Bombyx mori: one gene and its partner. The protein of the gene in region 1 interacts with the protein of each later gene in a biochemical or structural test. Links are inferred from orthologs where the notes say so. Each region holds a gene or a part of one and is shown in the gene's direction. Other genes may lie near its edges. The genes, in order: mitogen-activated protein kinase kinase kinase 4 and dual specificity mitogen-activated protein kinase kinase 4.

Evidence for each region.
Region 2: the proteins of mitogen-activated protein kinase kinase kinase 4 (region 1) and dual specificity mitogen-activated protein kinase kinase 4 form a complex in vitro, tested with the Homo sapiens proteins (2 studies listed by BioGRID, with this or other methods). The link is inferred for Bombyx mori from reciprocal best matches to the Homo sapiens genes MAP3K4 and MAP2K4.

What each region holds. Positions count from the first base shown.
Region 1 is NC_085112.1:511,828-515,658, forward strand, and holds part of mitogen-activated protein kinase kinase kinase 4, read left to right. Parts: intron 1-56; coding exon 57-167; intron 168-1,799; coding exon 1,800-1,902; intron 1,903-2,433; coding exon 2,434-2,618; intron 2,619-2,695; coding exon 2,696-2,863; intron 2,864-3,831. UniProt on the Homo sapiens protein: Component of a protein kinase signal transduction cascade. Activates the CSBP2, P38 and JNK MAPK pathways, but not the ERK pathway. Specifically phosphorylates and activates MAP2K4 and MAP2K6.
Region 2 is NC_085123.1:7,701,602-7,705,432, forward strand, and holds part of dual specificity mitogen-activated protein kinase kinase 4, read left to right. Parts: intron 1-333; coding exon 334-554; intron 555-1,225; coding exon 1,226-1,409; 3' UTR 1,410-3,831. UniProt on the Homo sapiens protein: Dual specificity protein kinase which acts as an essential component of the MAP kinase signal transduction pathway. Essential component of the stress-activated protein kinase/c-Jun N-terminal kinase (SAP/JNK) signaling pathway.

The sequences.
Region 1 (3,831 bases):
GAGACTCCCCCGTGGGCCACAAGGACACTATATCAGCCCCGTTTTGTGTCGCGCAGGAGCTGAAGCAGCGCATGGACAGCTGCATCTCGCACGTGATCGGGTCCCGCAGCGCGCGCACGCCCGACCCCGCGCCCCTCGCCTCGCCGCGCCCCCGCGCCCGCCTGCACGTACGCACCCCCATTAACTCCGCCCAACAATTAATCTTGTCACTTCAAGATCCAAAATTACACGTTGCTAATATTTTGTGCATTGAATCTAATTTGGGGAGTTTGTACGAAGGAACTCTCCGAATCCTGATCACGGAGCCAGTTACCGTCGACGCCCTAGACACTTGCTTACGGATCCATTAGATCCAATAACTCTTGCATTAGTCGCCTTCAGCTCTAACGCTAGGCGCAAGCTTATGAATCCCGGTAACCGTACTTGTCGAATTCGGCAAAGAGTTCGACGTGCAACTAACTTAATAGGAGTGGGTAATATCGGTTTTGCCGCGTATCGAATCGTATCTATATATCGAGGATCAATATCGGATATTGAATCTATATATTTTCTGAATCTATATATTGATGGATGCTAGTAGATTTTCTCGATTCATGATATTTGAGATTTGAAACGATACGCTGATATAATATCGTAGTAGATATAGATTTAAGTCAACGTTATACGGTTGGTTTTCTGATATCAATTTATAATATGATTTTAAAGTAATAAAAAGAACATGAAAATAAAAATATCAAAAAAACTTTCCTTCATGCTTTTATCAGGCTTAGGACTGGCTACATTATTTTCAGTTTTTAGTATTTTGTATCTTAATTTAAAATTACAAAATATACCAAAAGAGTGTAGATTTCAAAAGTTTAATACAAACACAAGAAATAAACTCAATTATTTGGATTCAACTAAAAATAGAAAAATGTGTACTTTAAAAATCAAACACAAAAAACTTTTAAGTATTTATAAACACTTGTCCAAAAATTGCAGTTCAAGGTCAAAGCGCGTGAAATTAAATTGTATCCTGCTGATACGCTAAGAATAATCTACAGACATATGGACTTAAATATAAGGTTTACAATTGTATGGATAATGCCTGTTTCTGTTTCATTCATCACATGATATCGTGCGCTCACTCACTCTGGCCGATTCGATACGAACCAAACGAATATTGCTGATATTTACGAATCGGTACGATATGCCGATGCGCATCACATCGAGTAATATCGTGTATCGACTGATATCGTTATATAGATTTCGATTCACGAATCGGTACGATATGCCGATGCGCATCACATCGAGCAATATCGTGTATCGGCCGATATCGATATATAGATTTCGTGCGGGGCGATATCGGATTCAACGATATTGCTGCGATATATAGATATTGAATCTAGATACGATTTATATCGCCCACTCCTATAACTTAAACATCAGCCCGCTGATTTTCTCGCCGGATTTTCTCAGCGGGTCGCGATTCCGATCCGGTGGTAGACTCTGCGAAGCACGGCTCTTGCTAGGACCAGTGTTAGCAAATTCTCTCAGGTTGAGCATATGAGCTCACCTAGTCGTCCGCACGTGGCTGAAATAGCCCCTTAGGTTACCAGCGAATAAGTAAGGAAAAAAAAGCTACACTGGTGCACTTTCATAAATGGTAAAAAGTTAATAACACTAAATTAAAAACACCAAAAAGTCCCCCTTGTTCTGTTTGTTATATGCTGCCGTAAACATTATGCATTGCGACATATTTTATAATTAATACAAGCATCAGGGTTAAGAGTGAACCTTGTCTATGCATGTGGGTGTAGAGTCCACTGTCCAACGCGTCGCTGCACAAGGACGTGCCCGCGCCGCCCACCCCGCCCAGCGAGCCCGAGCCGCTGCTGTGCTTCCCCGGCGCGGAGAACACGCGTGAGTACGCTCAGACACCAACATATATGTCGTGGGTAACGACTTCTCTAATATTAAGACATTGTATTGATTAAATGATAAAATATTGTTTTGATAAATATCACAAAAATGTAGGGTAGACGTCGTAACGCCAAAGTATAAAATGGCGTATATATAATACTAATGGCGAATATAAAATACGTGGACAGAGTCGTCTCAGTCTGTCAGTCAGTATCAGTCAGTCAGTCCGTCAGTCGGTCAGTTGAAACGAAACTGTCGGTTTACCCTTTTATTTATTTATTTAACCACAATCAAAATCACATATAAACATGTAAAAAGTGAACAGAGAAGAGAAATTTAAGTTAAAAAAAACAAAAGCAACATTGTGAAAATTATTTGCTTAGAATTTCAATAATAATATTCAAAAAGTTTTATTGACTTTTATCGCAATAAACTAACTTCTACCGAATACGAATGATGACGGAACTCCCGCTCAGCCATCCGTGACGCCATCATATATTTGTTTACCTTTAAAAAACTGATTTGTTATAGTACACAGCAGAAGAGTAACCGAAGCGATATCTCGAGTGGAGTTCGCGAGAGAGCAGAGACTGCGGGAGTCCAAGAGCGTGGGCAGGGTGCTGGAGGCCGCCGTCACCAGCTACGAGCCCAAGCTGAGGCAGCTCACGTTCAAGTGGCAGCGCGGATTGAAGATCGGCGCCGGCTCGTTCGGCAAGGTACTGTGGTCAGCAGCACGTGGAGTGCGGTAGAGTGCCGTAGAGTGATGCAGAGTGACGGAGGTTGTGGTGCGCAGGTGTACACGGTGGTGAACACGGAGAGCGGGCAGCTGCTGGCCATGAAGGAGCTGAGCGTGGGCGCGGGCGACCGGCGCGGGCTGCAGCGCGCCGCCAACGAGCTGCGCGTGCTGGAGGGCGTGGCGCACCCGCACCTCGTGCGCTACTACGGCTGCGAGCTGCACCGGGTGCGTGCACACCACACACCTGAACCTTTGTACCGTTGTCCCGATGATAGGGAAATGTTTTAAAATTACTGGTGGACCTGTTGTGAGTCCGCGCGGGTAGGTGTACCACCGCCCCGCATATTTCTGCCGTGAAGCAGCAATGCGTTTAGGTTTGAAGGGTGGGGCAGCCGTTGTGACTAATACTTGAGACCTTAGAACTTATATCTCAAGGTGGGTGGCGCATTTACGTTGTAGATGTCTGTGGGCTCCAGTAACCACACAGTAAACACAGTGGGCTGTGAGCTCGTCCACCCACCTAAGCAATAAAAAAAAACTTTATTATACTCCTTAACGCGATCCTGTACAATACGACCGACGTAACTTGACGAGTCTGAATATAGCCGCAGGTCAACTTTCGCGCATTTACACTCGTAAAAAAAAGTGTTATTGTCATTCATTTTTTTTAAATCAAAATACGAATTAAAACTTCCATATACAGAGACCAAGTACAAATAAAATTAATATCAAAACACTATGAGAGAGAAAGCTATAAAAATAATGTAATAAATTAAAGAGAAATAATAAATTAAGACTGAAAGCTGTAAAAATAACGTAATTAAATTAATTAGAAAGTAATCCCGAAACATTGCCTTCAGTTGCGATCCGCTGTACTGTGCGTTGCGATACACCAGCTGCGTTAGTAACTCTTAAAAAACTGTCAAAATATTTTACGCCTTCTTCTTTTTCTTTTTTAAAAAAGCTGCATTAGATCAAAAATTGTTTTTCTCGCCTGGCGATATAAAACACTATTATGCTTTGGTGGCATCTTTGTTGACGAATAATATAAATGCCAAGGGACACTTAATACTAAAACAAACTTAAACACAAACAAATTTAAAACTAAACAAAAACAGTATAATAATAACAAATCAATAAAAAGTTTCGTAGCCGCCCGTACTCAAGACAGAGATAGCGACACGAACACGACA
Region 2 (3,831 bases), on another chromosome or scaffold:
GCTTGTAAAGTGGCAACAAATCATTAAAGAAAATCGTGAATCTACTCTGATAGCTATTCTGCCTAGCCTCATGCTTAGAAGATTCATTTCAGTTTTAAAAGTGTAATAGGTTACATATATATAGTTATAGCTTTGACCTTATTCATATTGCTAAGTAGGTAATGGCCCTCTCATTATGTTTGTGTGCTCTGGACACCTCATAAGTACAAAATGGATAATGAGGTCCTTTCGCTGTTAGTTACTCTATTATACAATGATTGACGTTGAATTAAAAGACAGCACCCTTCACCAGTCAAACTGTTATAGAATTGTAAACAAAAACTTTTGTTTCAGCCGGAAAGAATTGATCCAGGCCGTGCAAGAGGTTATGATGTACGCTCAGATGTTTGGTCTTTAGGTATTACTTTGATGGAAGTGGCTACTGGTGCATTTCCGTACCCAAGATGGGGATCTGTATTTGAACAGCTACAGCAAGTGGTTCAAGGGGACCCGCCACGTCTTTCATCCAATAACAACATGTTTTCAAACAGCTTCGTTAACTTCGTTAATACTTGGTAAGTATAAATCCACATTAAAGATTATGAAATCGATCGTTAGGTATAAAATTATAACTTTTAGTACCATTACTTAGCCCCCTTATGTTGTGCGGTTACAGAAGTAAATCCTTAAACTCCAATGTGAATCTGCTGCCCATGTTGAGGCATAAGAATGAAGTCTTCATTACATCAATACAATGGTTGCCTTATATCTGATCAATTTAACCAATCTTCTGCAATCAGACTGTCCAAAGTTATGAACAAGTTGGTCAAGGTCATGATCTGTTGTTTGGAGAACATTTATCAGCAGAAGAATATTTCTTAGCACTTTGCCACCGTTCAACTAGGTTCAAGATGTTGGGGTGTTTGAGATTTACGATAGATTTTCAAGATAAGCTCATTAGTGGCTCTCGTGACGTTCCTTATTATATTATTTATTATTACATTATAATATATTTTTTTCTTTATTTCTGTTATGTACGTATTACATTAGAAAAGTTGGTAACGGCCTGCGAGATTAACACCGTTCCATCGCCTGATACGAATGCAACGGGCGTTTTATCCTTTAGGCCAGGAAGACTCATCTTAAAAGCCTTGCCTTGTTTTCGTTTGTAATATAGAATTTTAAGTTACAAGCGCTCACCGATGACTGTATTCCAACGAATATACATTTGAAATATTTATTTTAGCCTTATAAAAGAAGAAACACAGAGACCTAAGTATAACAGGTTACTGGAACACCCATTCATCAAAGGAATAGACCAAAGTCGATCAGATGTTGCTGCATATGTTTGCGAGATCTTAGAATCAATGGAACGGAATGGAGTGAGTCCTTTCACAACAGACCAGCCTGCTCAAGCCTGGGTAGATTAATCACAGTTTTCAGGAACTAGTTTAGTGTGCGTGACCAATATGGTTTAGAGTGAAATCTCATGAAAATTTTGTTTTTAATAAGCAAACTGCTCAAACTGTTTTTTGGGAGTTTTGACTTTATGGTACGATCGTCTACAATAAGCGGCACGGATTTTGAGTGCTGATCTTCACCTGCACTTAAGCCAGTCTTTGCGCGTCTTTAGTGGTACGAATTCCAGGTATTTTTATTATATCATTAGGCTGTTGGCTCACTACGACTATCTGTTGTTATTTACTTTGTTCTCTGAAATTCAAAAAGAACTCCCGACGAGTATACTTCAGTACGACTTTAATTAGTTTTCATTATATTTTGCTTACTATTTTTTGATGATCTGTTTTGAAAGAAAACATGTATACATGTTAAAAATTATAAAATCATAGGGTGTCCGACAATGGGTATATCAAGCCGAAACGTGGCTCTAGTATCAACAATGTAAATCATGTTTAATATGTAAAAAAATCTAAATCGTAATTAGTAGATTCATACAAAAACTAATTTATAATAATTGTTTCAACTGTTCGAAGGCAACCCTGAATTTATACAATAAAAGTACCGTTAGGCCATTCATTCAGTCAAGTCGCATCTGAACAAGATAGACAATAACAAATTCATTTTAACTCCTAAACAAAACCAAAAAATGCAACCGTGTTATTATTAGGTACCTACAAAAGTCAAAAACTAAAAAAAGAATCAAACTTATTACGGCATTGTTACTAAATTTCACCTCTATCGTAAAGGCAAAAGCAGGTTGATGTGCCGGCGCTTGTGGAGTGTTTAGGGTCATTTCGCCTGCTTGCGTCCACTTAGTGCAGTTGGCAAGTTTGAAGGAGAAAATAAAAATGTCCCAACACTAGGTAATTTCAATGAAAAGTTTATGTAATGTGTTCATTATAATAGTCTATTTTAAGGTAACTTAGTTTTTGCGAAACATCTTGTATTTTTATTTTGAAAGACAAACTTCAGAATTAGGCGTTTTACCCACTTTGCCTCCATAAAAATCAATTTGCGTCCACCCGCTGGACCACTTGGCGTCCATCAGCTTAGCAAAGGTATTAAAGGATGATATTTTTATGATATTAAAGCGAGATTGGATTTTAATACTTTATTTATTAAAGATGATTGATGATGATGAAAGATGATTATTATAGCCTTAGAATTTTAATTAATGACACAAGTCACATTCAAAAGACATGTTTGGCCTCTAAATAACTTAATCCTACTAATCGCGTGCATTTCAGATGATATGATCTAATACACTTGTCACAGCCAATGTTTTTCTCATCGTCCTCTTCTACATTTGAAATTAGTATATCGTCACATTCAGGACATTTCACTCGTTCCACGCCTGGTAAATTTTCTTTCTCAATTTCCACATCTATCCTTTTCTTTGTGACTTCTTCAAGAGGGGGTGTATTTCGTTTTTTCATTTCAGAGCAGTTTTACGAACCGTTTGAGGGTGTTTTAAAGTTTTTTTTTCTGTTCTTGCTTTTCTATTAGTTCTCTTTATTCTCTTCTCTTCGTTATCTTCATAATACTTTCATTCTCTTCATAATACTTTCTCCATGCAGCAGAAGATATGGCTGGAGTTCTTTGATAATTTTTTCATGCTTTGTTAGAAATTTCAGGCAGCATCAGGTGCTTTTCAAATGGATCAGAGGTTTTCTTTTGTGTTAGTATTTCAACAACTGCTGAAGCTGGTGGTACTCGAGGAGGTAGCGATACAGCTGATGCTGTATGAATCGAAGAAGTCAAAGCCGTTTCTGGCGTTTGTTCCTTAGTAAGGGTTTATTTTTCAACACTAGACATAGAGGGCGATGATGCAATCTCTTCAAATGGTAGAATTAGAACGTCGTCTAAAGACGCGACAGAGCCGGCGTTGAGGTAATTGCCAGAAAGATGTAATGTCAAAAGGGACAAGTCAGGAAACGAATCGTTTTTGTTGATATCGAGAGTTGAATTATTCGGATATCTCACGTCAAGTTGAGCAGATGTTACATTTCTATTTTTAGTGGTTATTATTGATATGAAAGTCTCGGCTAATGGTTTTGGTTGTGAAAATATTAGGGCTGATAGATACTATTTGAACCTGTACAGTAGGATCTGAGTTAGCTTGATCACTTTCGTTTTCGGTTTCTTCGTGTAGTGAAGAGATGAAGATTTCTTTAGTTGTATCCAATTTACAGTCAATGAGATTAAAAATGGTACTTTTTTTTTCTATTGAAAGTTCCATATTATGTGACTTCTCAGATTCAGTTTCGATAGAAATCTCGGCAAATCCCAGTTAAGCAGGGAGAGACTTTTTCAAACTATTGACTGCTCTCGTAATGGTTCAAATGTCAATATTTTTTTCCTTTTTGTGTCGGCTTCAAGTGTTTTAATACT